Linked DNA regions of Astyanax mexicanus. Each later gene encodes a partner of the first gene's protein in a complex. Links are inferred from orthologs where the notes say so. Each region holds a gene or a part of one and is shown in the gene's direction. Other genes may lie near its edges.

What was found.
Region 2: mta3 (region 1) and cdk2ap2 share a complex: the UniProt entries of both Homo sapiens proteins name them as parts of the nucleosome remodeling and deacetylase (NuRD) repressor complex. The link is inferred for Astyanax mexicanus from reciprocal best matches to the Homo sapiens genes MTA3 and CDK2AP2.
Region 3: mta3 (region 1) and chd5 share a complex: the UniProt entries of both Homo sapiens proteins name them as parts of the nucleosome remodeling and deacetylase (NuRD) repressor complex. The link is inferred for Astyanax mexicanus from reciprocal best matches to the Homo sapiens genes MTA3 and CHD5.

Annotation. Positions count from the first base shown.
Region 1 is NC_064422.1:39,780,343-39,791,295, forward strand, and holds the start of mta3 (metastasis-associated protein MTA3), read left to right. Parts: upstream 1-5,898; 5' UTR 5,899-6,191; coding exon 6,192-6,219; intron 6,220-9,809; coding exon 9,810-9,877; intron 9,878-10,953. Other genes in the region: kcng3 (potassium voltage-gated channel subfamily G member 3), read right to left, coding at 2,001-2,638. UniProt on the Homo sapiens protein: Acts as a component of the histone deacetylase NuRD complex which participates in the remodeling of chromatin.
Region 2 is NC_064414.1:54,929,505-54,939,806, reverse strand, and holds the start of cdk2ap2 (cyclin-dependent kinase 2-associated protein 2), read left to right. Parts: upstream 1-5,439; 5' UTR 5,440-5,977; coding exon 5,978-6,032; intron 6,033-8,892; coding exon 8,893-8,984; intron 8,985-9,481; coding exon 9,482-9,602; intron 9,603-10,302. UniProt on the Homo sapiens protein: Acts as a component of the histone deacetylase NuRD complex which participates in the remodeling of chromatin.
Region 3 is NC_064431.1:8,374,432-8,385,294, forward strand, and holds the start of chd5 (chromodomain-helicase-DNA-binding protein 5), read left to right. Parts: upstream 1-6,070; 5' UTR 6,071-6,913; coding exon 6,914-6,980; intron 6,981-10,863. Other genes in the region: rpl22 (60S ribosomal protein L22), read left to right, coding at 2,866-3,010. UniProt on the Homo sapiens protein: ATP-dependent chromatin-remodeling factor that binds DNA through histones and regulates gene transcription. May specifically recognize and bind trimethylated 'Lys-27' (H3K27me3) and non-methylated 'Lys-4' of histone H3.

The DNA of each region.
Region 1 (10,953 bases):
CCTAGGGCAGGGCAAATAATTAAAAATTAATTGAAACTGACATTCATTGATTTAGGCAATATGATTGATTTGATCGTATCGCCCAGCACTAATGGTACCTACATTACCTGACCAGATCTATTCTGTTTTTTTGCTTTATCTTTGGTCAAATTTGCTATCGGGTGTCTGAAATCAGGTACTGTTTTAGTACCTGCTCACTCTTGGTTGTAAGTGATGAAACCATTAAAGTGATGTTTAAACCTTGCAGAGTTCTGATTGGCCACAGGGTATTGCCATTATATGCAATCTCACAAAACTGCGGTAGTGGCTGTGTCCCGATTGTGTAGTACACACTAATACTTTAAGGCAGTATCTTGAAATTAATTCAAAATAAGTTGATTGATAAGCATGAACACATAGGTATGATAGGACAACAGATTGCAAAAATAATAATAATAATAATAATAATAATAATAATAATAAATTCAGTGCAAATGCAAACATCTTTATAATACTCATGCTTTTCCACAGAATTCATTTTGCAATATGTTCCCCTATCCTACATATATGTTCAGTAGAATTCCTTAAAATTCCTAAGAATCCTACCAAAGGGGCTCTGAGTGGTTCAGCGGACTAAGGCACTGCCACTAAGATCGACGGTTTGAATCCTGTTTATGCAGCTTGCCATCGGATACCTGAGCCCTAAGAGAGCACAATTGGCCTGGCTCTCTCTGGGTAGGTAGATGGCACTCTTTCACCTCATCACTCCAATGGGTGATGTCAATCATCACAAGGCTGCATCTGTGAGCTGTTGTATCCGAACTGAGTTGTTACGCTTTCCTCCGAGTGCGCTGTGATCAGCAGCAGTTCGAAAACAGGCATGTGCTAGTCTTCACCTCTTCTCCTTGTGTTGGGGGGCATTACTAGTGATAGGGGGAGTCCTAATGAGTGGGTTGGGTAGTTGGCTGTGTAAATTGAGGATAGTAAAATAATAATGATAATAATAATAATAATAATAAAATTATGAAAACAAAAAAGAATTCTACCAATAAAATGTGGAGCACAGTAAAATAACTGTGTTAAAATAGCATTTGTTTGCATGGGTAAGGCTATGCACTTATCACTAGCATTATGAGCCTATTAGAAGCATAGGCTAAAAGTGCTGCATTATGGAATGCTGGGGAAGAACAGAAGTGGACTATCCTGTTTCACTACACCACAATCTGCACAGTTTGTTCCTACACCACATTTCAAAATTGTTATGCAAATTGGATTTAGGTGTCATAAAGATTTTTTTTGTTTTGTTTCCCAATTAAACTTATGAATGGTATTGTGTCTCAGGGCTCTTTGGATCACTGAAATCAATCTCAGACACCTGTAAAAATTAGTCTGCCATGTGAGCCCAATTAAAGGAAAACTACTTAAGAAGCATGTTCCACATTAGGCAGGCCACAGGTTTCAAGTAACATGGGAAAGAAAAAGGACCTCTCTGCAGCCATAAAGTCAATGTCTTATATAGTGCAATGCATTGGACAAGGTATGAAAACATTAAATTTTTCATGAAAACTTAAGCGTGATCATGGTACTGTGAAGAGATTTGTGGCTGATTCGGAGCACAGAGTGGTTAGTGCACATAAAGGCAAAATGAGGAAAGTTTCTGCCAGACAAATCCTTCGGATTAAGAGGGCAGCTGATAAATTGCAAAAAGGAAACTGCAAAGTCAACAAATTACCATTTTCATTTCTTTACAACCTGTAAAATGTTTTGAAACTTCGCTGTGCATAATAATTTGGAACAGTGAGTTTTTTTCTTTGAAGAATATACTTTTATTATCAGGAGGTTTGTTCAATAAACTTCGATTTATACTCTTTTATTATACTGATTTGCATTTTTATTATTTGTCATTTGCATCAACTATTTAGAAAAATCTGGTAAAAACTATAATTTGCATAATAATTTGGAACGCCGTGTAGAAAACCAAAAGTGCCTTTTTTATTTATCATTATCTCCACTCCACTCACCTGTGCTCCTCCACCGTGTTGTTCTTGGCCGTGTCCCAGTCGGGCAGGGTGCTCGCGCACAGGATGACCATGGAGATGATGACGAAGATGACGGAGACGGAGGCGAGCACCTGCGCGGCCACGGAGGACGCGGGGTCCTCGAACGTCCTCCTCATCCTGGCCAGCCAGGAGCGCGCCTCCTCCTCGTGCTCCTCCGTCGAGTCCTCCGCCGCCGAGTCCCTGCGCCGCACCTCGTCGTCCACCGCGTCCGCCAGCTCCTCCTCGGAGAGGCAGGTGTAGGTGTCGGACATCCTGTCGTCCAGGCGCCGCTGGCAGCAGAACTCCAGGTGCGAGCTCTCGAGCCCCCAGTAGAGCATCTCGTTGTAGAAGGAGAGCTCGCACATCCGCGGCACGAAGCGCAGCTTTCCGGAGCGCACGTACAGCATGATGAAGACGAACGCCTCCGAGTGCCGGTCGAAGAAGAACTCGTTGCGCTCGCGGTCGTAGTCGTCGCACACCTCCAGCACCTCCTTTTCGGACGCGCAGCTGTGCAGGCGGCTGACCCGGCGCAGCGGAAAGTCCCGGATCACCTCCCGCGTGAAGGCGTACTTGGTGCCGCCGACGTTCAGGATGCAGATGTTCTTCTTACCAAACTTCATCTCTTCAAGCGCGCGAGGAATAAAGGGGGGTAAGGGGGAGGAGGATAAGGAGGAGTGGGGGGATTAGTTACTCTAATCACCTGTTTTTAGGTGAGAAAAGTAGGAAATTTGGATTTGGGTTTGGGGACAGCATCGTTTTCCTGCGCGCAACGTGAAGACGCGCAGACACACGCGCTCCGGGACGCGCAGCAGCTCCCGCCGCTCTGGAGCCGCGCTGGAGACTGTATTCTATATCCTTGTACTATTCCAATAACGAGGAATAAGGAGAAGCTGCTGGTGCCACTGCTGCTGCCGCTACCACTGCCACTGCTGCTGCCACTGCTCCGAGTTTGCAGCCAGGAGAAGGAGCAGCAGCAGAACGAGCTGCCGCGAGTTTCCTCCCCATCTGAACTCCAGCCCCTCGGAATACAGGGGGGCAGTTCGTGCACGCGGTGATGTCACGCCGGCGAGACTCCAGTCCCGTTACGCACTTTTACGCACGCGTGTCCCGCCAAGCCGCGGAGCGGGGCGGGCCGAAACCAAAGCCCTCATAACAAGGAGCCCACCCTCTTCAACCCTAACCCTCTAACTCTAAAAAATACGATAAAAAAAGATAAAAAGATTTTTTTAAGTAGTCTTTGTTTTAGTTATTTTTTCATTTTATTATTTGTTCAAAGAAACAACACGTTCAAAGAAAACGTGAGAATTTAGAGCATTATGAAAATATGGAGAACAAAAGAATCGAACTGCAATTCACAGATTGAATAATAATATTGAGATGAGATCAGGTAAAACAACATTTTATTAATCCCAGAAGAGGGAAATACAAATGATCAAACATTAAAATGGTTGGTTTATTAATAATTAATTTAAGATATGAGATTTTAGTCCAATGTTATCATTTTACAGCCAACTATTACTTGAGCAACACAATTAACCATTGACCACAATTAACAATGAACTTATTCAGCATGAAAAACAATAAAAAAAATAGGGTGTAAGAAAATATCAATACATTTAGGTGCTCTTATCTGGCAGGTAATGCTGATGGACTTTTCCTGTGCAACAGAGGTAACTCACGGTCTTCCTTTCCTGGGGTGGTCCTGATGAGAGCCAATTTCATCATCAACGTTTTTGATGGCCTTTGAGAGGAGACTGCGCTTAAGGAAACTTTCAAAGTTTTTGTATTTTTTCAAATTAACTGAGCTTCATTTCTTAAATTATTTTTTTAACTTAAGTGATTCAGTTTTTGAGTTCAGCGCAGCTGTTAACTGAAAGCCTGAATTCCAGTGACTCTACTTCATAAAGCTGACTGAAAAAATGACAAGATGTGCAAAACTGTCATCTAAACAAGAGGTACTACTTTGAAACATCTAAAATATACTGTGGTTTATTCAGTTTGTGTTTGTTTACTAAATAATTCCTTATTTTTTTCTTCATAGTTTGGATGACTTGCAGAACATATATTTTTTAAATGATGCACAACACTATTAAATGAGATTCTAAATTAGTTTAACTGTTTAATGTTTTTTTTCTGCAGTCAGTTTGGCTGCACTAATGTTTCCCAGAAAAAGAAGTATTTTATTCAGTTCACCTCACTCTACTTCATTCTAGCTTGCTCTGCTTTGCTGTACCTCACTGTACGTCATTCTATAATGATAATAAAGTTAAATTTATTTTGTTTAGTAACTTTATTATGGTACTTCAAACATATTTGGGTCATTATCAGGCATACTTGCAGCAGGGCAAAGATTTTAAGCACACCAGCAGGTCCAAAACAAAATGAGGGAAAACCCTCTAATGTGGCTGAATTAAACCCATTGTACAAATTCCTTCATCGAGAAACTTATTGCCAGGTATCGCAAATGCTTGATTGCAGTTATTGCTGCCAACGGTGAAAAGATACACAAGTTGAAAAATTTACAGAGTAATTTCTAAGACTTTGGGACTCCAGTAAACCACAGCGAGACCTATTATTCAAAAATGGAGAAAACACTGGTGAACCTTCCCAAGAGTGACCGGTCTATTATAGTGTATAATTATGATTTAAAAAGCAAAGAAATTTGTAAGCGGGGCAAAAACTTTTTCACACCACTCTCCTGTCCCGCCCCCCTTAAATTACTGTATTGTATTGTGTACTAATCTTAGGCGTACTTAGGCTCTGCAGCAGGACAATGAGCTGAAGCACACCAGTAAGTCCACCTATAAATGTCTAAAATAATAATAATAATAATAATAATAATAATAATAATAATAATAATAATAATAATAATAATAATAATAATAATAATGAAGCAAAATTAAGGTTTTGGAGTGAAATGTGGAATTTATTACAATAATCTTTTTTTGACCCTTATACTATTTCAACTTTATTTTTTAGATGAACTGTTTTTAAATGTGTGGCCCTAAAAAGCTGTCATAGGTTTGGATATATTTAAATAAATCATTTGGATATAAATTATTAAACTATACTTTTTATATTTACTTGGGTTACCTTTGTCTGATATTAAAATGTGTTCGATTATCTGAAAAATACAGCTCTGCAAAAAATGAGACCACTTAAAAATGATGGGTTTCTTTGATTTTACCAAATGGAAAACCTCTGGAATATAATCAAGAGGAAGATGGATGATCAGAAGCCATCAAACCAAACTGAACTGCTTGGATTTTTGCACCAGGAGTGAGCAGCATAAAGTTATCCAAAAGCAGTGTGTAAGACTGGTGGAGGAGAACATGCTTGAAAACTGTGATTAAGAAACAGGGTTATTCCACCAAATATTGATTTCTGAACTCTTAAAGCTCTGCAACTTTTTTGTTATTTCTAATTTTCTGCAAATAAATGCTCTAAATGACAATATTTTTATTAGGAATTTGTTGGAAATGTTGTCCGCAGTTTATAGAATAAAACAACAATGTTAAACCTATACTTATAAATAGGAAAATTAGAGAAATTGATTCAGAAACTGAGAAAGGACTCAGAAAGTCCACTCTGAATGGCTAAAAAAAAGTTGAATTCTCTTGAAATGCCACTGTGTACATATTTTTTTCTCATAATATTACAAGTCAACTTTTTTTTTATTTAATATATTTTTAAAAAGGGCCCTAAAATGCTTTCATATGTTTGGACAGATTTGGCCCTTAATAAATGAAAAATGTAGGTATGACAAAAAAAGCAAAAACAAAAGAATCTGTGAGGGGGGCAAAAACTTTTTCACACCACTCTCCTCCCCTCCTCCTCCTCTTCCTCCTCCCTCATGAGGAAGCTCCTCTCCCTCCCTCCCTCCTCCCTCTCTCTCCGTGAGTTACTGTATTGTACTGTGTACTAATCTTAGGAGGGGGGCTCCTCAACAAAACACACTGAAAAAAAGAAAAAGGAAAGAGGGGGGAACAGAAAGTAGCCTCCCGCTCATCTCGTGCTTCATTCACCCCCACCTCTGTAGCTGTAACTGTAACAGCGTATAACCTAGCTACCGCTTTTATTAGTCCGCTGTGCAGCACACCCGCTTTTTATTTAGGCCTTTATTTATTTATTTTAGTTTATGGTCTGGTTTTTTAACACTCCGGGAGGGCAGAAATGGCGGCCAACATGTACCGGGTCGGAGGTATGTCAGTCTGATCATTTCTGTTTAAAGGTAAAGTTTCAGCGTTTCTTCAGAGAAACGAGAAACGTGGGGGGGTTTAGGAGGAGTTGGACGTTTTGTAGATGTTTTAGAAAAGGGGTTGATAATGATTCATAGGTGTATTTTGGTGTTTGATGTGGATCAGGCCTCTAAAACTATGGTAGGCTAACTAGAGGAATGGTGGTGGAGAATCCAGTTGAATCCAGGTCCAGAAAGTGAAAATCCATTCCGGGATTGTATTCCAACTGCACGTGGAAGATAAGCTGCAGCTGAGCTTCCCAATGCAGTTGGAACAAAATCCCGGAGCGGATTTTCAATTTCTTGACCTGGATTCACCTGGATAGCTACTAACACCTCTGCAGGGATCTAGCTTGGCTAAGCTAGCTGAGGAGCTGCAGCAGAGCTGTTTGTGCAGTTGGAACAAAATCCTGGTCAGGATAAGGTTATAGCTAACCTAAAATAATGGATCTGGATTCAGCTAGCTAGCTAGATTAGCTGGTTAGCTAGCCAACCTACCACATCTGCAGGGATGGATTAAATTGAGATCGTTAGCTTAGCTAGCATAGCTAGCCAGCATGTCCAGGTAAATTCAGGTCCAGAAGCTAGCTTACTAGCCTAGCTAGCTAACTACTTTATGCTAGCTAATGCTAAATCCCCAGGTTTTTGTTCCGACTGCATGGGCTAGCTAACGTTAGCTACCTAGCTAGATAAGCTAGTTAGCATAGCAAGGCCATCATCACCATCACCTATGCTAAGCTAAGATAAGCTAAACTAGCTCTACTAGACACACTGGTTATCTATCAGACCTGGCGTCCAAAAATCGTTCCTCACAAATTAACCCGCACACTTTACAACCAAACTGGGCCCTAGTTTAAAAGTTAACAAATCCACCATAATTTATTGGACGGGTTATTTTATATTATCTATTTCTTTGTGACCGTTTCACCCCAGTTTCTGGCTCCCATCCATCCATTAACGCTAGTTTAACAACGTTAGCGTTAGGTTAGCTAGCTGAAATCGCCGCCGCCAAACAATTAAGCTGTAAAAAAGATTATATTTCAAGTTACAGGCTTTTATAAAACACATGCGAGGTTTAGTTAGTGTCTAAACACTCTGTACAATCTGCATTTTGTACCATTTAGTAGCACAAATTCGTTTAATAGGCGTTTTAAGTTGGGTTTTAAACGTGTGTTTGGCATCACCGTTCAGAGCAATTAGCCGGCTAACTACAGAAAATTGGCCGACATTGTTTCGTGGCGTAGGTTAGCAATAGGTGAAGCTGTGGCAGAATAAAACGAGGCTGGACATGAGCTGTGACAAACTATACTTAAGCTATATTACTTAGTTATGTTTAAAGCTTTAAAGTCTTTTAATAGTCTGAAAATGCGTAGAAACGAGTGCTTTCAGTTTCAGGCTCAGTGTATCGGAATGTGACTGTGATGGGCCCGTTTTATTAGGGATAATATGGAGCTAAAGTAGTTAGCTAGTTAGCTTATAAAGGTAGAAAATATAACTAGAATATTTCGACACTTGAAACCTTCCGATAGATAGATAGATAGATAGATAGATAGATAGATAGATAGATAGATAGATAGATATTCTGAAATTGCTGTAGACCAATGTACAGATATGGCAATGATACCTAACCTAATAATAATATACAACGTGTAACTACATAAGTTAAAAAAAAAAATAATAAAAAATCTGCAGTTATAATATAAGAACAATATACAACTATAAGAATATAATAAGAACTACAAGTGCAAGTAACTAAAGCTGTCAGTCCACTGTAAACAATAAGGGTGTCCCTAAAATAATATCACAATATCACTGCCCATGCAATTCCCTCACATTTCTAGGTAGGATAACCTACAGCTCTGGAAAAAATAAGAGACCACTTCAGTTCCTATTATTCAGTTGCTTTATTATTATTGTTTAAAATGTAAAATGAGAATTGTTGTTTTATTCTTTAAACTATGGCCAACATTTCTTCCAAATTCCAAATTAAAATATTGTCGTTTAATGCATTTATTTGCAAACAATGAGAAATGGCTGAAATACCAAAAAAGATGCAGAGCTTTCAGACCTCAAATAATGCGAAAAAAAGTTTATGTTCATAATGTTTAAGATTAAAAAAATCAATATTTGGTGAAATAACCCTGTTTTTTAATCACAGTTTTCATGCATCTTGGCATCATGTTCTCCTCCACCAGCTTTTGGATAAATGTATGCCTTTACTCCTGGTGCAAAAATTCAAGCAGTTCAGCTTGGTTTGGTGGCTTGTGATCATCCATCTTCCTCTTGATTATATTCCAGAGGTTTTCAATTTAGTAAAATCAAAGAAACTCATAATTTTTAAGTGGTCTCTTATTTTTTCCAGAGCTGTATTATACAGAAGATTTTCAAACAAAAATCTGTAAATCAAACAAACAAAACAATCCTGTATTTTTTTTCTAGAGCTGTATAGCTAATCTGGGCTCCGAGTGGACTAAGGCACTTCCAGTATGATTGGGAGATTGCCGTAGGTTCAAATCCCAGGCATGCAGCTTGCCATCAGCTGCTGGAGGCCTGAGAGAGCACAGTTGGCCTTGCTCTGTCTGGGTGGGTAGATGATGCTCTTTCCCCTCATCACTCCTAGGGTGATGTCAATCCGAACAAGGCTGCATCTGTGAGCTGATGTATCAGAACCGAGTCGCTGCGCTTTCCTCTGAGCGTGCTGTGATGCTACTTGGTAATGCTGCATCAGCAGCAGTTGGAAAAGAGATGGTGATTGACTTCACATGTGTTGGAGGAGGCATGTGCTAGTTCTCACCCTCCTTATGTTGAGGCATTGCTAGTGATGGGTCGTGATCAGTCGTGAAATTTCCTCAATACTTAATATTCTACAGCCAACTGTCAGAGATGGAAGCTTAGGGATTTGCAGTAACAGGTACTAAAATAACTAATTTACAGTATTCACATAGCAGAATGTTTAATGTTCTATTTCTGTGCATATTATGTGTTTATATCTGAATTCTGCTTTTTTCCTGTCTGTGTTCTGAAATCATAGGATCCTATAAACTGAGGGAACAGTTTATTAAACATCTCTGTACTTGTAACAAAGTTTGCGATATAATATTGAAAGAATCTCTGTGGTAGCAAAAACCCCCTTCTCATTCTCACAATATGGTTTTATATGTATTGAAATGAGATGAGTGCCATTCATAATCATAAGTAGAGTTTACTAAGATGACTACTATGTACTATGTGAGATGAGATGATTTTCTTTGGTATGTTATCATTAATATCACCATATATACAGTTCATGTTTCTGGTTTTAGTCACTACTAAACCACAGAGTCTCATCTTTGCACACTGTACTGTACTGTTTACTGAACACTGTGGAGTTCTGTCTTCAATCATAAGCATCGTAAAATCACACATTCTGATGGTGTAAGGAGGGCTTTAACTGTTGCTTTTTACAGATGCATGTGTCTGTTTCTGTTTACAGGTAATGTTATGAGTTTGTGCTTTTTGGGCTGATAAGCAGGCAGTGCAGAATTAAATGCCATCTCTGTTTTTTCTTGTTGCAGATTATGTCTTTTTCGAGAATTCTTCAAGCAATCCTTATCTGATCCGGAGAATAGAGGAACTGAATAAGGTACAGCACTATGGAGGGAATGGAAAGTAGCTGTTGTGGGTTGTTTTGGTTGTTTTCAGGAGTAAAGACTTAAAGTAAAACCAGAATCCAGGTAATTTCAGGACTTGGAAAATGACTTTTTAGTTGGTAGGGAATTTTGTCTGCAAGCTGTGTGAACTGTTTATATGCTGTAGCACAGGGGTTCTCAACTGGTCTTAGCCTGGAACCCACATGTTGTGATGGTCATCAAGTCGCGAACAACTTTTATAGAATACAAACCATAATTTAAACATATATATGCATGCAAAGGGAATTAAGAGTTTTTTTTTAAGAAACTGAGGGGAAACACGACAACTACATGTATAAAAATGACAATAAAATTAAATATTAAAACCGTACAAAATAAATAAGGCCACAAAATGAGATTTTTTCACTTCTCTGCATATCTTTGCATTCAGAGTACATTAGTAAGAAAAACTCTTTTTTTTCTCAATATATAAGCTGAATACAAAACCACATGAGCATTAATTATTTTTAATTTCTAATTATTTTATTTTTGGGTCCTGACCCACCAGTTGAGAATTACTTCTGTAGCAGATTCAGGCTTTATGAAGGGGGGGGGGGGGGGTGTTGCAAAGAGGGGGTGTGGCTAAAACTAAATGGGCATATATGGATAAAATAAATGCAAATTTAAGAATGGGAATGAGTTTTATAGACTTTGTGCCATAACTGACAACAATTTATACTGTTTTGTGCCATCAAATCAGGGCTCCAGACTTACATGGTCCCACCGTCCCTGGGACAGCAAAAATAGGGTTGGGATTAAAGCTCTTTTAGAAAACTTTCAGGATGAAGAATCTGTGATTTATAACCAGTTATGAGTTGTTTATGAGGAGGCTGCCTACTGGTTGAAATATGACTGGGCTTTCTTAATGTTTACTGCAGAGTCTATTTTACGGATAAAGTAGAGAGCCAATCAGCGTATAGTCCAGAATGTGCCAAAAAAATGACATAACTGTGGAAAAATACACAAATAAATACAACAGTGTAATAGTATAAAAATAAAAAATGGCTGATGGTCAGTTTGGGATGTCTAC
Region 2 (10,302 bases), on another chromosome or scaffold:
CTCGCCTAGTCTTGTTAAAGACTGTAAGCGAGTGGCAAGCCGGTTCAATAAAGGAGCTGTTGAGCATTCAGCATGAGTCTCACGGGTCTTCCTTCCTCTTCCGCGCTACATTTGGTGTCAGAAGTGACCCTGCTGGAAGATATTGAGCTGATGGCAGGGGAAATCGAACGGCTGAGGAGGAAGACAGCGGACCAACGGACTAGAGGCAAGGCTCTCCAGCGGAGTGGACTCGGACCTGACGGCGCCAGCGGGCTGTTCGGAGGTCGTGGCCGGGGAGAGGACGACGCGAGCACGGCGGCGCAGGCTCCCAGAGCGGCTGGCGCGAGGACGGCGGCGCTGACTCCCAGAGCGGATGGCGCGTGGACGGCGGCGCTGGCTCATGGAGCGGATGGCGCAAGGACAGCGGCGCCGACTCGTGGAACGGACGGTGCGATGATGGCGGCGCAAGCCTCCGGGATGGCGGGCTTGACGGCTCAACCCCGCCTTACCCCCTACGACGGCAGCGCTGACTGGACAGCCTTCGAAGCTCAGCTTGAGATCGTGGCGGGCGGTGCGGGCTGGACGGACGCCGAGACGGCAGCCAACCTCTGCCTGGCGCTGCGGGGCGACGCGCTGAGGGTACTGATCGAGCTCCGTGCCGCCGCGAGCTGCCTGAACTGACGCGGGTGCTGAGAACACGTTTCAGCCGACAACCGTCGGAGGCGGCCACCAAAATGCTAGTGGCGGACAGACGCTGACAGCAGGGGGAGACACTGCGAGCTGCGCAAACACGTGAGGCTGGCCGACCCGCAGACCCTGGAGTCCGCGGTGGAGGTGGCGGAGCGGTCCGAACTCATCCTCTCAAGCCATCCTGGACCGTGGGGGGCGTCGCCGGTTGCCCGTGATTCGCAGAGGTGGGGTCGGAGCCGGTCTGATGCCCTACTGGAGTGCTGGCGCTGCGGGGGGCGTGGCCACAAGCGAGCGCACTGCAGCCGGCCGGGAAACTGAGCCGGGACCACCCAGTGAGGGTTACGGTGGCCCCAGGAACGCTATGCTTACCCTCGGGATCTGATTCCGGAACTGCCGGACTCAGCGGCTATTTCCTGAAATGCACATTGAATGGAGTGACAGTGAACGCGCTGGTGGACACGGGCTCGTCAGTCTCACTGATACGGCCCGAGCTAGCGACGGAGGTAGCGGCCGAGTTTGTGACTGACAACAGCCAGCGCATCGCTCTCTCTTCAGTCACCGGGGATCCTATAGGTCTCCTAGGATTAACGGAGTTGACGATTGATGTCGGCAAGGGGCCCTTTCAACAACAGTTCTGGGTAGGACACATCAACGACCCGTGCATTCTGGGCAAGGACCTGCTCTCACGCGTTGGAGCTATCATTGACTGTGCACGGGGCTCGGTGCTGGTGACTGGACTCCCCGTAGAGATACGCGGCGAGTTAGGGGTAAGTGAACTGGTGGGAGGGAATGTGTGTGATTCGGTGCGTGATACGGTAGAGGGTCCGCTGGATGCGGGGTTGAGTGTAGATCCGATAGAGGAGATGCTGGAGCGCAGTTGTGTGGGTTTATCTGGTCCCCAACAACTCCGTTTGCGCGAACTGATCGGCCATTTTCGCACGAGTTTCGCTGTGTCTGAGCGCGAGTGTACTAAAACTAGCCTTGCGGTTCATTCGATAAACACGGGTGACGCCCAGCCCATTAGGCTGAGGCCGCACCGTCTGGCGTTAGCAAAGCGCGTAGCGGCGGAGCAGTTAGTCCGCGAGATGGCGAGTACGGGCATTATTGAGCCTTCGAGCAGCCCATGGTCGGCCCCGGTGGTCCTTGCGAAAAAGAAGGATGGAAATTGGTGCTTTTGCGTGGATTATCGGCGACTTAACGCTGTCACGAAGCTTGACTCCTACCCGCTCCCCAGGATCGACGATACGCTGGACCAGCTGTCTGGCTCAGCCTGGTTCAGCTCGTTAGACCTGAGGAGCGGATATTGGCAGGTGCCCCTCGCGGCAGGGGATAGGGAGAAAACCGCTTTCTCGCTCGGCTCAGCCCTATGGCATTTCACGGTGCTTCCGTTCAGATTGTGTAACTCGCCGGCTACTTTTGAGCGTCTTATGGAGCGTGTTTTATGCGGGGTTCCGCGGTCGTGCTGCGTCGTTTATTTGGATGATGTCTTGGCGCACGGAACCGACTTCGACTCCGCACTGTCTCACCTTGAAATGGTGCTCGGCGCGATTCAGGCGGCTAACCTGAAGCTCAATCCGGCAAAGTGTAATCTGCTAAGGCAGCGTGTGAGCTTCCTGGGCCACGTAGTGAGCGGTGCTGGCGTGGAAACCGATCCCAAAAAGACGGAGGCAGTCCGTGACTGGCCCACACCGCGAGACGCAAAAATGGTTCGCAGCTTCGTGGGGCTCGCCTCGAATTACAGGCGGTTTATTAGGGGGTTCGCGGACGTGGCAGCGCCGCTTCATGCTCTGACTAAGCCTAGTGTGAAATTCCGCTGGTCTGACGAGGCGGAGCAGGCATTCGAGGAGCTAAAAAGCCGCCTGTGCAATGCTCCGATTCTAGCGTATCCGAAGGTGTCTGAGAGTTTCATTGTGGATACTGATGCGAGCGACCACGGCCTCGGAGCAGTCCTGTCGCAGGTTCAGGACGGCTCCGAGTGCGTAATAGCGTACTATAGCCGCTGCCTGGACAAGGCGGAGCGCAACTATTGCGTAACGCGCCGGGAACTACTCGCGGTGGTCGAAAGCCTTCCGAGCGTACGTGTATGGGGTGCCCTTTCTGCTGCGCACTGACCACGCCTCGCTACAGTGGCTCATGCGTTTCCGCGAGCCCGAGGGCCAACTCGCGCGCTGGTTATCTAGACTCCAGGAGTTTCGTTTTGAGGTTGTGCACCGCCCGGGCCGTGGCCACAGTAACGCGGATGCTTTCTCGCCCCGGCCGTGTGTGGCCGCCGACTGCAAACATTGTGCTCGTGCTGAGGAGAAATCTGCTGAGACCGCACGCTGCGCTGCAATCTCCGGGGATGTTACTGGCGCTGTCGGGGTGGCTCAGGTGTCCGTAGAGCAGCTCCGCAATGCGCAACGGGCGGATCGCGAATTATTGTGGGCAGTACACGCGCTCAGTGCGAACGTCACACCGCCGTGGGGGGAGGTGGTGCCGCTGGGCCCGATTGCTATGGCGTTGCGCTCCAACTGGGCTAGTTTTAGTTTGTCCGACGGCGTGCTGTGCCATACCTGGGAGGATCCGGCGAACGGGCGGCGCGTTTTTCAGGTGGTGGTACCGCGGACGCTTAGGGGATCGGTCCTACGGGGAGTTCATGGGTCACCTGGGGCTGGGCACTTTGGTGTCACCAAGACTCTGAAGCGCCTGAGGCAACGCTTCTATTGGCCTGGGTGTAGAACCGACGTGGAACTCTTCGTGCACTGCTGTGATGTGTGCGCTGCCAAGAAGGGCCCCTCGAGGGCGCCCCGCGCCCCACTTCACCCTTACCAGTGCGGCAGCCCGATGGAGCGGGTGGCCGTGGATGTGCTGGGCCCCTTTCCGGTGACGGACTCTGGAAATCGCTTTGTTCTGGTGGCGATGGACTATTTCACGAAGTGGCCAGAGGCCTACGCGGTGCCGGACCAAGGGGCGGTCACTACTGCGGATATCCTGGTGCAGGAGTTCTTTTGCAGATTCGGGGTTCCGGAAGAACTGCACAGCGACCAGGGGAGAAATTTCGAGTCGGAGGTCATGGCGGAGGTCTGCCGCATCCTGGGAATCCATAAGACCAGGACGACGCCCCTTCATCCGCAGAGTGATGGACTGGTGGAACGTTTTAACCGCACGCTGGCGGCGCAGTTGGCCATGGTGTCGGACAAGAACCAGCGTGACTGGGACAGGCACCTGCCGGTAGTGCTGCTGGCATGTCGCTCCGCTGTGCAGGAGACGACGGGATTCACGCCGGCTCTGCTTACAGTATGTTCGGGCGCGAACTGAGGACGACGGTCTCCCTGGCTTTTGGGGCGCCTCCTGACGGGGGCGGGTACGCTTCGGACACGCCCACTTTTGTCTTGGACCTTATGTCTTCGCTGGAAATAGCACACCGTCTAGCGCGCTCCAACCAGTCTGCTGCCGGACAGAAGCAGAAGCGTGCGCACGACACGCGCTGCTTTGGGGACCCGTTGGTGGTGCGGGTGAGGGTTTGGCTATATAACCCTCAGCGGAAGAAGGGACTGTGCCCGAAGCTCCAGTCGGCCTGGGTGGGTCCGTGCTTGGTGCTGTCCAGGCTGGGGGAGGTGGTGTATAAGGTCCGGTGGGGCAGACGCACTATGATTGTGCACCGTGATAGGCTGGCCCCCTATAGGCCGAGACTGTCGGACACTGTGGACGGTGGTGCGGAGCCTGCCGGCCTTGCACTCGTGCCTGACCTGAACTCTGGCTCTTCGGAGCCACTGGCAGGCGGTGCCGTGCCCGGCCCCTCCAGGCTGCCGCGGGCACGGAGGCCGCCCGCCCGTCTTAATGACTTTGTTTGCGACTGATTGTAAAAAAAAAAAAAATGTTCTGTTGTACACGGGGTTTGTGTTGGGTTGGTGGGGTCGCCGGGACGGCTGACCCTTGGGAGGGGGGCTATGTGGCAGCTCTGGGTTGTGTGTGTGGCTGCCTGCAGGCATGTTTCTGCTCTCCTGTGTGCGAGGATGACAGGGGTGGGGCATCTCCCTTGGGAGGGGTTATGCAGAGAGGGTGGGCACCACTCTGGATCTGCCATCTGGGAGACACACAGCTGGGTTGGTGGCCTTTGGGCTATTTAGCTCTGTGGGAATGGTTTTAGCTCGCCTAGTCTTGTTAAAGACTGTAAGTGAGTGGCAAGCCGGTTCAATAAAGGAGCTGTTGAGCATTCAGCGTGAGTCTCACGGGTCTTCCTTCCTCTTCCACGCCACAATATTTTTAGTACATTTATATTTATAGTACGTTTTTTATATTTATAGCACTGGTATAATACATCTTTTTTAGAGGATATTATTAAAGAACTACAAGTTAAATTATTTATATTCCATTAACATATACCAGCTATGTGTATGAAAGTGTTCTCGTATATGTTTTTTGTTGTTGTTGTTGATTAATTCATTTTTCTTAATGTGTGTAATGGTTTCGAGTGTAATTATTTTTAAATCATCAATTACTGTCTTTATATCATTTAGAAAATACTGAAAATAATACAGTTATTCCTGTATATTTGAAAAATAAATTATATATATATATATATATATTTAAAGCTGAGGAATAATCATATTACGCACGTTTATCACACGTAGTCGTGATTTTTATATATATATATATATATATATATATATATATATATTTATATATATATATATATATATTTATATATATATATATATATATATTTAAAGCTGAGGAATAATCATATTACGCACGTTTATCACACGTAGTCGTGCGTGATGACGCAGCGCTGTGAGCATGCGCAGTGAGGTGTGAGTGTGTGTGTGGAAGCGGTAGCGGTAGCTGGTCGGGGATTCAGCGCTTTATTTTGTGTTTATGATAAATATTGAGTTTTATAAACTGCGGGACTCAGCGGTGTGATAGAGAGCGGTGTCTCCGCGGTCAGAAGCGGGTTAATCAGTGTTTTTAGCGGTTGTTAGAGGTGTAATCAGCGCGGGTCTGTGTGAGGGGTTTTGTCTCCGGTAGCGGTTTGGTTAGATTAGCTGTAGTTCTCTTTGTCAGTCCGGTTTTTACTTTAATATTATTTATAATTTAGTTTTTATACAGAATAATCCGCAGCGCTACAGAACAGCGGGCAGGAGAACATAAACCGAGAGGATTTAAACCGCGGGTTTAAGCTGAACTTTAGCAGGAGTTAAAGGAGTTAAACGCCGGTCGGTAGTTCAGCCCGAGCTGCTGAATAAACCGCATTAACTCAACAATCCGAATTCAGCTCTGAGATTTTACACCACCGACAACAAACACGGAGCAACAAAGCGAATTCAGTATGAGTTATAAACCCATAGCTCCTGCTCCTGCCGGATCCAACCACACACCACCGGGTAATTATACCACAATTAATCTCTTTAAACCGTGTATTTACCTGTTTATCTGTGACTCATTAATATACTGTAATTAACCCTTTCAGACCTGAATTATCTCTGTTCTGAAAAAGTTCTCAAAATAATGTTTTCTGTCTGTAATGCACAGAAAAGAAAATAATATTCTACTATAACCTCTATATAGCAAATAAATCCAATTAACTAAAACATTTAATATTTTTGTTTATTTCCATTGCGTTGAAAGCCTGTGTGCAATGTTATGTTTTATTTCATATTGAGTAAAAAACAATGATTAAAAAGTGTTATACATAACATTAAATCAGTAAAAATCAGATGTTACTTTGCCTCAATGGCTCTATCAATCTTTCACTGGCTTTAACTCCTTTATTGGCTGGTTTATGGTCTGTTCTGATGGACAACAGCTCTGAAATAGTGTTATTTGCAACAAAACGTTTAAAAAAATAAATCAAATACACGATGTCGATTGTAATGGATGTATGGTCTGAAAGGGTTAACTCAACCAAGGCTGGATTATTAGCCATTCAAATTTTTTGGTTTAATATATTTTGGGTATATTTATATTACAGGTATATTAATATTAAATTGTTTTATATAAATCATTTTATATTTTTTTATGAATATTTTACAGATATATTTATGAGAATGTAATATTTAAGTACATTCTCACAATGCAAAAATGTATCACCTAAGCTGCATATTATCCAATTAAACAAGATTTTTTTTACACATTCTAAGTACTGATGATATCCTTGATACGCTTGTTGTCAATATGTTAAGAAAATGTATCAATGCAATAATATAAAATGTCAATATAGTTATTGTCCAGCTCTAAACTCAGTCAGCTTTAAAAAGGAATAATATAGAAAAAATGGGAAGCACCAATAATTTTCATGCAGCTACAAATCTGTTTAAGATTTAATAAAATTGAAGTTTAGACAAAATCCACCTAAAGCAGCATTACAGGGAAATATAGATAGCTAATCTTCATCTGTATGCAACATCCCATGCAGTTGTCACATATAGACATATAGAGGTGGGACAAAATATTTTCTTTGCGATACATGATTATCGATATGTGGCATCAAATATTGAGTATCGCAGAATCACAGTATCGTGATAATATTGTGTATCGTGAGATGCCCTATGATTCCCACTTTTATTCAATACAGTGTATAATGATGGTAGACCTTCTGCATTCTGTTTAAAAACTATAAAAACAGGCACAGGAAGGAATGTAATCAGGTTAAAATGTAGCAGGTTTGCATGTACATTTCTTCAAACTGTGGAAAAAGTACTTTTATTTTGGCGTTCTATTGACCACGTCCTGCCGGTAAGCAGAGGTGAACAGCGGGGGAAATTCCTGCCACTGTAAAACCACTGCGGCCGGAAGCCCTGACACACATCTGACTGTTTACTGTGCCACACAAACACACACACACACACACACACACACACACACACACACACACACACACACACACACACACACACACACACACACACACACACACAATATGGCGGCATGAACACATTTATGTAATTAGAGACAGATGGCAATGGCCTCTATAACTCAGGCTTTATCTGCAGTTCAGTCTGACCCGTTTACACCGGCCTTCCTGAACCTTCGTCAGAATCACACACAGCATTTTACAGCACTCCTATTCAGACAGTCAGAACAATTATTATGCAAACGCAGTAATGCATGAAAAAAAGCTCATTTTACAGGCTGTATTACTGGGCTTAACCACCCAAAACCATCCAACACAGCAATGAAGAACACAGGGCCATTTTTAAACTGCCTATATTCTGCTTAATGTTTCCCCCCTGATAAAGGACTTGTACACTATAATGCCAAAAGTATCTGCTGGCCTGCATTGCGTTTCAGTGATACGAGGAAACTCATTCCATGAAGCTCTTTACACTTGATAACATAATATAACAATACTGTGATTCTGCGATATTCTGTATATCAACACAATTCGCTACGATACCTCATAGATTTACACTTCATTCAGCTAGCTAAGTTAAAATATTGGACTCACCCTAGTCTTTGTCTTCCTTTCCTGGAACGGTCCTCTTGGGTATACTTACAAAGTGCTTGACATTTTTTAGATTGACTGACCTCAATTTCTTAATCATTTTTTCTTAAAGCCATTTTTTCTTTATTTAGTTGAGTAGTTGTTGCTTCTCATAATCTGGATTCGAACATTACTCAAATATTCACTATTCACTGTATACCTGTAACTCTACCTCTTCACTACTTTACTTTAACTGATGCTCTCGAACACTTTATTAAGAGACAAGAAATTCAGGTAATTAACTCTTGATGAGTTCAGCACAGCTGTTTACTGAAAGCCTGAATAAATTAATACTTTTTTCTTAGTTTGGATTATTTTAGTATTAATCTACAATGCAAAAAAAATAAAATGATAAAAAAAACACTGAATTTAAAGACTGTTACTTCATCTTTCATGTAAAAGGAATACACAATAATATCAGAATTAAATCAGTATTGACCTATAATTACTTATTTTCATTTCCTAGAATCATTGGCATCGGCTGTTAAGGACGATATTTTAAATTGATACTCGCTGATGTATTTATTGTATGCTGGAAAATAACCAAACAATGCTGACTGCTCTACTACAAGTGCCAGACACTAACCCCACTACTTTAAAATGAATTGATTTAGGTTCATTTTGACTTATTTGTATTAGTTTTAAAGCTATACCACAGTGTGTAGTCTCTCTGTAAGTTATAAATATATAGATATATACATGTGTAATATTGCTCACCATTTTTCACTATAATAACCTCTTTCGTCTGTTATTATCCTCAGGATCCTGCGGCTCTTCACCGTCCCTGCCCTCCTCATCCAACTTCAGACCAGCATTCAGTGACTTCGGTCCACCATCGATGGGTTTCGTACAGGTAAGATCAGTCAGAGAACAGGGAACTTTAATAGCAGTAATCACGGTATTTTAGAGTTCTTACAGCCTGTTTTGATTTTAATTTTTTGAGCTACTCTTAGTTTTGTATTTTTTTTATTATTATAAAATGTCTAATTTCTTTTCCTTTTTTAATTTTCTCTTTAAAATGTGAATTTGACAGTGGTTCTCTATATTGTGTCAATATTTAATGATTAATGGACCAATAGAAACGCTCAAATTATTTCACTGAAAGTTAAAAAGCATTTTCCTCCTTCTGTAAAGTTAACATTTTAAGGATACAAGGGTATTGCATGAGAGCAATGTACAAAAAAATATTAAGATGTTTGTGTGATATATGATTTCAGCTTTATATAGTTACTAATCTTTATTATTAATTAGTTTCCTATTCTTTCATGTCTCAACCAGCCAGATGTGGCTGTGAGGTTAGTGTGAGCTGAGTCTGAGGAAGATGCTAACTCCCTGTCTGTTCATTTCCAGCCAGTGAAAGTGTCACAAGGCTCCACCTACAGTGAGCTGCTGTCCGTTATTGAGGAGATGAGCCGAGAAATCCGCCCCACCTACGCCGGCAGCAAAAGCGCCATGGAGAGACTCAAGAGAGGTACAGCACTGAGACATACTGTATATAACTAACGCAGTGACAGTAATACTTCTGCATACATGTTTATTACTTAGGTTTAATTAGTATTGGTCTAACTTTTTGCATGCTTTTGTTTTTCCACTTGGGTCTCGACTATCCTTATAAACATTCTCCAAGTTTCGAAAAAATCCATATATTAGTTTTCTGTGAATCAGCTGAAAGAGTTTGGGGTCAGGAATCATTTTCTTCTATAAGTTGTTTGGATGCTCCTCCCTTATTGTGACATCACCCTCTAAATCAGTCTGCTGGTACAAATATAAAATAACTGCTTAAAAAGATTCCACCAGCTTAAATACTTAATTTAAATACTTAATAAAATGAAGACACTGATTTAAGTCTGTGATGCTCAAGTCATTAACATTGTCAATGCCATAAAATAGCCAACATGTTGCTGATATGACACAAAACCCTAACAAACAAAAACAAAACATCTGTCTGCTGGTTGAGAACCTCAGACAGTACACAGTAGGATTAGCCAGCAGACTTCCTCTGAGGGAGGGATCTGTACCTACTGTCCTTGGCATGTCAGCAGATTAGGTAGATGTAAGAAATTTCAAATAATGTGTTTTGTACTTCTATTGCAGTTAAGCATGAACTAGCTTGTTTGTGCTTTGCCATTTAGCACAAGCCAATGTTTATGTGAGGTAAACGCTCAGCATAA
Region 3 (10,863 bases), on another chromosome or scaffold:
AACAGTTTTAAAACTTGTGATATTGCATACAATGTGATATGGCATCCCCCCTAATGGTAGGCCCTTGCTAAAGGGCAGTAGCCTTTGCATTTATTCTGTACATTAATTTGACAAATATGCATGTAATATGTATGCTTGTTTTTTGCGGCTAAATTTTGGTCATTGCCAAAGCTGTTAGTGGTACTTCATCCCTCTTGTAAAGAAACTGCAACATTTAACTATAGAATTAAGGTTTTTCAATGTGCATGTCTTTTTATATTTTTTAATCATATAAGATTTGCTATATATAGTTCCCATTGTATTACGATCTGAACAGATAAAATATAGATAAGTTAGATGTTTAAAGTGGATTTTATGGGGCCCCCTTATTAGTGCTGCTGTGGTGAATTTTTAGTCTGTTACATAGAAGTAAAGGTCAATTTATACTTGTCAAGCTGTGCTGTAGGCAACAAGTACCTTATGCCATAGCCTGACGTGCTCCTCCCCATTTTCTTGTTTTCACAGTTTAAAACTGCAGAGTAAAACGCAGAAGTATAAACAAGTAGCGCACAAGCGCAGGCTTTATAAACCATTGGTTATTCGGATCAGCAATTTCAGTTAATACAAAAATAGGCAGATGCGTGATTTTGGGCACCCTAACAGAACAATCCTCCTTTTGCAGAAATAACAGCCTCTAAACGTTTCCTAAAGCTACCAATAATAGTCTAGTTTCTGTTTGAAGATTTATTTTGGACCATTCTTCTTTACAAAACATATCCAGTTTAGTCAGGTTTGATGGATTTTGATTATTGACGACCCAATTTAAATTACACCACAAATGTTCAGATATTCAGGACTGAGATGATCATTCCAGAATGATGATGTTGTTCCTCTGCATGAATGCCAGGAGTAGATTTTAAGCAGTGTAACTGATATTAACAGACCCTCAAATTTGACAAGATTCCCAGTACCTGCACTGACCACACAGCCCCATAGTGTGATGGAACCACCACCAAATTTTACTGTCTGTAGCAAGTGTTTGTCTTGGACTGCTGTTTTTTTTTTCTGCTATGCACACCGCCCTCCTAATAACTCAATTTTAATTTCATTAGTCCACAGCACCTTATTCCAAAATTAAGCTGGCTTGTCCAAATGTGCTTTAACATACCTCAAGGCATTCTGTTTGTGGCGTGTGCACAGAAAAAGGCTTCTTCTGCATTGCTCTCCCATACAGCTTCTCCTTGTGTAAAGTGCGCCGAGTAGTTGAACGATGCACAGTGATCATCTGCAGCAAAATGATGGTGTTGTAGATGTTTGGAGCTGGTCTGTGAGTTGACTGACTTTTGACTGCTTATCTGAGATTTTTCTTGGTCTGTCACTTCGGGTCTTAACTAGAACTGTGCCTGTGGTCTTCCATTTCCACACTATGTTCCTCACAGTGGAAACTGACAGCTGAAATCTCTGCTTTTTGTATCCTTCCTCTAAACCATGATGTTGAACAGTCTGTTTTCAGTTGTTTTGAGGTTCCTATGTTGCCTCTCTTCAGAGAAGATGCAAAGAGGAGAAAAACTTGCAATTGGCTCCTATACCCTTTCTTATAATTTAATTTCTCTGTGTATGTAGGTCAAGGGTCAGTGGTCTTACCAAAGTGTGTTCCAATAATTAGTGCTCAAGGTATTCAAATTAATGAAATGACAAGGGTGACCAAATTAATGCACCTGCCTAATTTTATTTAAATAAATTTTGCACACTTTCTGTAAATCCTATGAACTTCAGCTATATAATATATTTATCTGAAATGACTTGTCAGAACTTAGGATTTATAAAGGAAAATCATGAAAATTATTATATAAGTTATAGGCCAGTATTTTTAAAGTATACGTCAAATTGTCCCTGTGTTTTTTGAAATGTCTAACCTCATAACTTTTGTGGCCCTTGCGGAAGAGGTTCAACACCAGGCGAGAAAAACATTTGTCATTTGTGATTCAGTTCAGAATTGTCTACATCCAGGTTGAGATGCTTTTAAGAATGGAACATTTCGTCCACCCTTATTTAACACTCCTGTTTAATGGTTTGGAGTTAAGCAATTGTTTTAATGTTAGTATATTAAGTATTCCCTTAGACCTCAGTTTCAGTCGCTTGATTGTTTTTTTATGTATTTTATTTAAACTTCTATTGTTAACCATATTTATGGGATTACTTATCTTTTTATTTTTATCTCTACATGGAGTTACAAGACAGTACATGGCTACAATGGCACTGATGATGGATCTCTTGTACAAGAATCTCTTGGAAATGCTCAATAACTATCATGTTACTCCCCTGTAGAGAGGCTGTTTGTAGCATTATTTCCCAGTGCTGGCATACCCCTGCAGTGCAATTTTTCACATGCTCATTTTAAAACTCATGAAGAGCTTGTTAATGAGTTGATGAGTTGAGTCAGGTGTTTTGAGAAGGGAAACACTGAAATGAACAAGGGCACTTGATGACAACAGGGTAAACACTGGTGTTTGCTGATGAGGTTTATTTAGTGTCAGTAAATCAAGATTATTTCTGTAGATGTGTTTGAGGACATTAGGTTATTTTATGCTCAGTGTTTAAAGATGTGATGTAGGCCTAGTTGGTAAGTTAAGAATATGGCGATACACAGCTGTTATTGTACTCTTTGCCAAAACGTCAATACCAACACAACTGCCCATGTAAGTTCTTGATTAGATTGAAAAAGTAATGTGAAAACATAACTGCTTTTGGGCGCCCATGTTTTTATTTTATTTTTTATGGTAAATACGGAAATAATAGATTTTAGTTTAATTTAGGCACCCATAAATGTATTATCTGTCCACTTATAGCAACTGACAATTACATTTGTATTTTGTTTCTCTGAAGGTACCTGAAATATCTCACCAAGAAGTACCTAAAGAAGAACAACCTGCGTGACTGGCTGCGCGTTGTGGCGAACACCAAGGAGAGTTACGAATTGCGCTACTTCCAGATCAACCAGGATGAAGAGGAGGAAGAGGATGACGATTAAATCCTTGCACACTGCTCTTATGGAAGTCAATAAAATTTTCAAAAGAGCCGATTTGTAGTTGTCTCTTTTTTTTTTTTTTTTTGTATGTCAAACATTAGCCATATACAGTCTGATTTTCCTGATGCAGCAGAAAATTAATTCTAGTCAGCATGGATGTTGCAGAGCTTTTTTTTGGTTTGTTTTACTATGTTTAGACTGCCAACCACAATCTGTTTTTTTGTCATCTTTGGTTGATTTTTGATTGTCCGAACCACTAGAAACTGTACAAAATTGCTAATTAGATCCAAAGCACATTTTGTAAGCAAGGTTATCAGCATCTTACTGTTGGCACTCTTCTTAAGACACCTCTTCTTGGGCTACACAACATTCGCTTTAGATGATACTCAAATACTGAGGTTGGGCAAAGAGAAGCTGCAATTGAAAAAAGCATATAAATAGTTTAAGCAAGTTTGATATTACTGCTTAATACAAATCAAATGAACAAACTGAGGCAAAGTTTGCTTTAGACCTTTTATGCTAAAATAAATGAGGAAATGCTTTAATTGGCTCAATGATAAGAGGTGTTGACATCCGTTAAATGAAAAAACTAAAATACAAGAATCTTAAGTGACCAACAGTTCTGGTCAATATTAAGTGGTAAATATTGTTGAGAATGACTGTTTATTAACACAAAAGAACCTATGGTAATGTGGTCACAGACCCTTTAAAAGATGAGTAAAGGTCCTCACAATATGTGTTCATTTACCTGGCCTAATTTACAGAATATAACTATGCTGGGTTAGGTCTGGAGATAAAGGTAGCTTGTACAGGTTTGTTCCAACCATTTAACCCTTCAAATGCTTAAATGAATGTTTAATATGCCATAGAGCTGGTTGTGACCTCATTTCTAAAACAAAATGTTAACAGTTCTGAAATTGTAATTTGTTTCTTTATCATTTTAACCTTAAAATATTTACCGTAAGGTGCCAGCAGGAAGAAACCAACCTGAATGAGATTTCTGACTGGATTTTGAAATTGGTATCAATGTTCAGAAATACGTTGGGCTCTTATGAGCTAAATGGTAACCCACAATACCTGTTTTAGAAATTAAACAAATTTATATATCTTAAATAACGATCTAAAATCCCTGAAACATTTATTTCTAACCTAAGTTATGTAAGTATTATGTATTTGTAAATAATCTGCACTGCCTTTTGCATTTTAAAGGTTTTCAAATCCCTCAGCGAAATCCAAAAGGCAGATCTGTGAAACATACTCGCTGAGAGTAGATGAGCGTAATAGCAAGTGTGTTTGGAGGTGCGCGAGCGGCAGTCGCAGAGGGAGAAAAGCGCGGGAATATAGCTCTAAAGGTAAATTGGTAATTTTACCCGTTTGTGCCCTCGGACACTTCGCTTTCTGAGGTAAAAAGACTAAATAATAGTAAAACTAAACAATATATCGTTCAAATTCTTATTTCCGGCAGTCAAATTGCAATTTCAAGGACACTTGTTCTCTTAACTAATGTTATCTATTGATAACTAACTGATAGCTAACTAACCAACCGGTACGAAGGACTGTCATTATTAGCTTGCATGCTAACTAAATATATTTGGGATACATAAGCTAGCTAGGTTGCTATGACTCCCACAGTTAATTTTATGCTTTAACTTACATTAAGTGTCCAAAAAGCTAGCTTAAATGGATTAAGAGGATGGATCAAATGAAGTTTTTTTGTGTGCCTGTCATTTGTTATTGTAATAATTTATTCAAATTTAAGTATGAAAAAATCAAAAAAATTAAATATTCATAATGTAAATAACTTAAAAAATAGAAAATTAATGCAAATTTTGAGGTATTACATTTGTTACTAAAAAATATACATTAGTAGGGCTTTGTGGAAAAAAAAAATCTTGATTATTCTTTAAATTTATAAGCAATTCTTCATTACGACCTAAACTTTTTTATTTTAGTTTAGTTTTTTTAACAAATAATAAGAATAAGAATTATAAAGTGGAATTGGAACATGATATTTAGGGCACTGCAGTGCACTTGCAATTTAATTGAAACATTGTAGCTCACTAAACAAGTTGAATAGAGACCAAAATGCATTGCAAGTCTGTATTACTAAGCAGAAGACAGTAAGAACAAGCTTTAGCTGATAGATTTGGCTCATATAAGCCAATTATATTTATGAGCAACTGGAATTTGTCATTTGTTAATGGGAGACTTATGTTTTTAAACAACACAACATAGCTTTAATTTTGTGTGTACAGAGCTTTTTAAACATTAACACATTTTTCTCTGTACTTTATTATCTAAAACACACTCAGAGACTGGAGCCACGTCAAGCTCTCCCTACCATCATCCCTCATATCTTTTGTCACGTTTTCCCAATACACTCTTTAGTTTTATTTTCTGTCATTTTCAAACTTTTTATTCTCCTGTCTTTGTACTCCTTCTCTCTTCTCACCTTTTGTCCTTTCTTTTAACTGTTCCTCTTTCTGTATCTTTTGTTTATTTTGTGTTGCACTGTTCTTTCCTACTCCTTCTCTCATTTATCTATTTTCTATTAATTGTTCCTGGCATACATCTTTTCATATTTTGATTTCCTCCTCTTTGTGTCATTAATACCTCGTTATATTCCTTCTGCCTCTCATCTTTTTTTGTTCTTTCAGTCTCTTTTTCTTGCAGTTTCTGTCTCTCTTTCTATCTCCCTGTTTTTCTTTCTTTTCCATCCTATCTTTTTTTGTTTCTTTCTCTCCTGTCTGTTTCTCTCTCTCTCTCTCTCTCCCTCTCTCTGTCTTTGTGTCGGGCTGCGCTGCCTCGTCACCTTGACAACGGCGCTCGTGACTCTCCGGTGGTCCTGAACGCGCGAGCCTATTGCATCGAGCGCTAACCGGCTCTTTAATTGGCCGCGTTCTGCATCTGTTGCACGATCTAGACGGAGATCACTCCTCAACCCAACCCCCCTGAATTAAAAAAAAAATACAGCGCGAGAGCCTTCCTTTACTTTTAAATAAGAGCATCCTCGCGCCACTTATACCCACCTGTAAACCAACCACAACACAGGCTCGCACACACACACACTCACGCGCGCGCACGCGACGGCCCTCTCTCTGTCCCGGTCTGTGCGTGGCGTGTTGGTCGATCGTGCAGAGGGGAAAAACCAAACCTGGCGCGTGTGATGCAAACAAAGACGAGCACAGTTTCCCCCACCCCTCTCTTGCGCTCGTGCGGTGGGTCGGTCGGTCTGGAGGTTGATCCAGAGATGATGTTGCTCGCCGTACACGGCAACGGACAGAAAGCACGCGACAGCACTCGAAACAACTTTCGTCCACGTTTTCCCCTCAACCCCACGTAAGCCTCAGAATGCACGAGCTCGGCGCTGTGAGCGTGTTTGTGTGAGCAGTGTGTGCGCGAGCAATGTGGTTGTGCGCGTGCGTGCATGTACTAGTCCAACTGGTAACTAAGGGGGAAAGCACTACTAACTAGTCGTGCCCCATCATCATTATGGGATGGATCGCCATGGCAACCGACCAGACGTCACAAGCTGGGCATGTGTGTTCCATTTTTGGCTCTTTCTTATTTTCAGAGCGGAGGATTTGGATGGAGGAGGGAATGGAGAGATTTTTTGGGGCGGCTTCCATGTAGGGCAGCCATATTTCCCTTTTTCTTTTTTTCCTCTTTTCCATCTTCTTCTTCTCTTTAATTTTTGGGGGTGCCAAGTGTTTTCTCAAGCCCCTCACCTTCGCTGGACGTCCTTTCTTCCTCTTCTTCACTGAAAGGCGTTGTTGCATTGCTGAAAGGCTGCCTCTGCTGCTGCTCTGAAGGGGTTAAGTTTCCACGACTTTAGTGAGCTCTAGCTTGGATGTGATTTTTTTTTTCCTCCCCCCCCTCCTTTTTTCTCTGGGTAATGCAGTAAAGATGCCCGGATCGCTGAGCAATGAAGAAGAGGGGCAAGACGATCTGGATTTTGAAGACGACATAGCAGGTGAGGGGAGTGTAGCCTAAAGTGGCAAAAAAGGAGGAGGAGGAGGAAGAGGAGGAGGTGGGGGAGTTTCTCTGTCCTTCTGAGCTGAGCTGAGGCTGCTAATGCTGCTACGCCTTTCGAGCTGAATGCAGGGAAAAGGGCTTGACCGCGCTACACTGTTGGAGACTTGAGAGATGGAAGGAAGGAGGGAGTGAGGAGGGAGGGGTGGGGGGTAACCTGGCTAAACGATGGGGCTGCTCTTTTTCAGTCAGTCCTCAGACAGGACCTCAGACAGGACGGACGCCTTTAGCTGAGATTAGGCTATGCTCGTCCACTTCTCTCGTCTTTGGTCTTTGGTGTTTGATTTGGTGGAAGATCATCTCTTGCTTCTGTGCCCTTTATTCTGCTTCAGTCTGAGTCATATGAGTCCTTGCATATAAATTAGCTAGCTTTTATGCACACTATTATTTACACTTTACATATTACCGTTATTACTATTTTGTAGATCAGCTCTAATGATTTATGCATTGTTCAAGATTTTTCCTCTACATACTGTCTTAATAGACTTGCCACGTGTGACATCCCTGGCTTTGTGGCCAACTTTCGAGGCAGAAGAGCAAAAAAGGATTGGGCTGCCCTCTTTTAGTCCTCAGACAGGACCTCAGTATAGACGCCTTCAGCCCATATTATGCTTTGCCCAGTCCTGTCCACTTCTCTGGGCTATGGCCTTTTGGTGTTTGATTTTTGGATGTCTTTGTGCCCCTTATTTTGCTTAAGTCTGAGTCATACGTCCTTGCATATGAATTAGCTTCATAGACCTCTGTCTGATATAGTGATTTTGTTCATTATTTCTTCCCTGTTGTTACTGTCCAAGTTGACTATATGTATATGTGTATGTGTCTGATGTAGTCTGATGATGAGCTTTTTTTGATATTTAATATATAAAATGAGCTAAATGTAGTACATTATTCTGGAAAAGCCACGTGTGATGTCCATGGCTTCACTATAACTCTGTGGTCAACTTTCAAGGTAAGGGAGCAAAACCTGGCTAAATGATGGGGCTGCTCACTTTCAGTCCTCAGTAAGGACAGACACTGGTGCACTGGTAGAGGAAGATCCCTTTTCTTGGTGCCCCTTATTCCGCTTTAGTTTGAACCAGACTAATATCAGCCTGATGCAATTTTCCTTGTATATGCTAAATACCGAAAATGTATATGCATTAGCACTTTCATGTTCACCATTTTGGACCTCTGTCTGATATAATTGTGCAGATTTTTCAGATTTTCTGATTATATAAATCTGTGTGTACCAGCCAAGCAAAAAAGCAGCAATTTCTTTCTGATTGAGGTGACAGTGTGTATTCACTCCCTTCCTTATTTTGGGATATAATGTTTGGTTGTGTTTTGTCTATCATATCCTAGACTTGTACTGCCTGTAAGGGCCACGTGTGACATCAATGGCTTCTCTGTGGTCCAAACCTGGCTAAACGATTGACAAGCTCTCATTAAGTCCCTAGAAAGGATGGACGCCTTTATCCCAGATTAGGATTTGGCCTTTTTACTTGTTTGGTTTTGGTCTGGTGGAAGAGAAGATCTCTTCTCTTGTCCCCTTGTTCTGCTTCAGACTGCATATTTGCATATGAATTATAGTTAGCTTTCATGCACACCATTTTGGATCACTCTCTGATATTACAATGCAGATTTTTCAGATTTTCTTATTGTATACATCAGTGTGTACCAGCCAAGCAAAAAAGCAGCAATTTCTTTCTAATTGAGTTGACAATGTGTATTTACTCCCTTTCTTAAAATGTAGTGCAGCCTTTAATATCCACATGTGACCTCCCTTGCCTCACTATCTTTGTAGTTGGTATTATAGTAGCATTAGGTAGACACAGTTTTCCTTGCATATGAATTATTATTAACGTTAGATTATATTATTTAGGATCAATATTTTACACTTAGACTAATTGAATGTTGTGTGTTCCAGCTAAACTCTAAGGCAGTCATACCTGATCAGCCTGGTGAGTCTTTCTGATTGAGTTGACAGCCTTTATTACCTTGCTTAAAATGTAGTGCTGATATCTAGAATTATGTGTGACATCCCTGGCTTGCTTATCTCTGTGGCTAACATTGGGCTCAATGATGGAGCCTCTCTTTTAGCCCTCAGGCAGGACAGAAACCTTTATTCCAGATTTGGGTTTCCATCATCCACTTCTCTACTCTTTGATCTTTAATATGGTGGGAGAAGATCTCTTGTCTTAGTGCCCCTTATTCTGCTTCAGTCTGTCCCAGACTTTCATCAGCCAGATGCAGTTTTCCTTGCATTTGAATTATAGCTAGCTTCCATGCACGCTATCGCATTTGGATTTCTGTCTGATATCATTACATTAGGGCATCTCAAGATCACTGCAATGCGATTCTTAGGGAGTTTAGAGTGCCTAGGTTTCAATAATAATATCCATAACTGATGCCACATACTGAAATATTGTGACAACATATTCCTACCCTAAAAAATGTGTGCATGTGAATCAAGACATAATAGCCTCATGCCTGATCAGCCTGATGAATATTTTTCTAAGATTCTTCAAGCCTTTTCACAAGAGACACACTTGTAGCCACCTCTACGGTCAACTTTAGAGGGAGTGAGCATAACCTGTCTAAACGATGTGGCTGTTCTATTTCATTCCTCAGAGTGGACGCTCATATTCCGGGTTAGGGTTTGGCCTTGTTTACTTCTCTAGTCTTTAATCTGGTGGAAGAATTTCTCTTGTCCTTCATATAAATTAGCTTGCTATCGTGCACACCATTTTAGATTTCTACTTGATATTATTTTGTGCATCAAGTCCAATTTATCCTCCTTCATACTGTATTATTAGAATATCACAATGTTCTGATACATGCACATTTCCTCTAATGCATAGCACAGTAATTCCCTTTAAATTTTTGCTGCAGTTTTCAGTGTTCTTTAAGCACTGAAGATATCCACGATAATCCTAAAGTACATTGTCAAAATGATAAAAATATATATATATATAGCACCGTACAATTGGGCTGCACAGTATATTGTTTCAGCATCATCTCAATAGGTGCATGTGCTACAATCACATTGCCAGAAAAGCACTGTCACACAAAGCTAATTTAATCATACATGTTGCGCTATAGCTAGTTTGATAAAAAATATTTAGAATTTTCTCATCCTGCATATTTTCATGCCATGGCGTGTATTTATGTTACTAACTGATTTTTTTGAGAAATCTGGTAAAAGTTCAGTATAGTTTCTGCCCTTAGTGATCAGGCATCGTCCTCTGCATTGAGAGATGAGAGATGACCCCTTGCTTAGATTGCTTATATCATTGATGTCCTAATCCAGTGTAAATGATCAGTAGGCCAGAGCTGATCCAGGTGTATATTACATTTTGGTAATATAAGGCCATATTAGAGTCTGTTTCAGACCTTTGTTTGCATTAATGTTGAATAAAAATGAAGATGTTAAAAATGTTAATAAAGAAGTGCCTGTGTAGGTTTTGATGTACTAAAAACGATATCTACTGTCAAATCTATCATTATTCCTTTATTTGGAAGCTTACTTTGCTAGTAATTTTAAGCTTAGTGTAAACACAGTGGCGATTTGGTTTAATTTTATTTGGCTTTGCAGTTTTCCCAGTTTAAATAGATGACATTGTGTAATACATGGGAACACAATACAATAAGAAATTTTACATGTTCAAAGTCACTTTGTGAACTTGGCATTAAACAAACCTAGACTAAAAACATAGTGTATTCATAACATTTTTATTTTACTTAAGCATTTTAAAAGATGTGAGGGTTTGGCTTAAGGTATGGAGACTGGGTTTAGTGGAGAGGTAGCTGTGCAGAAATATTGATAGTTTATATTGATTATTCAT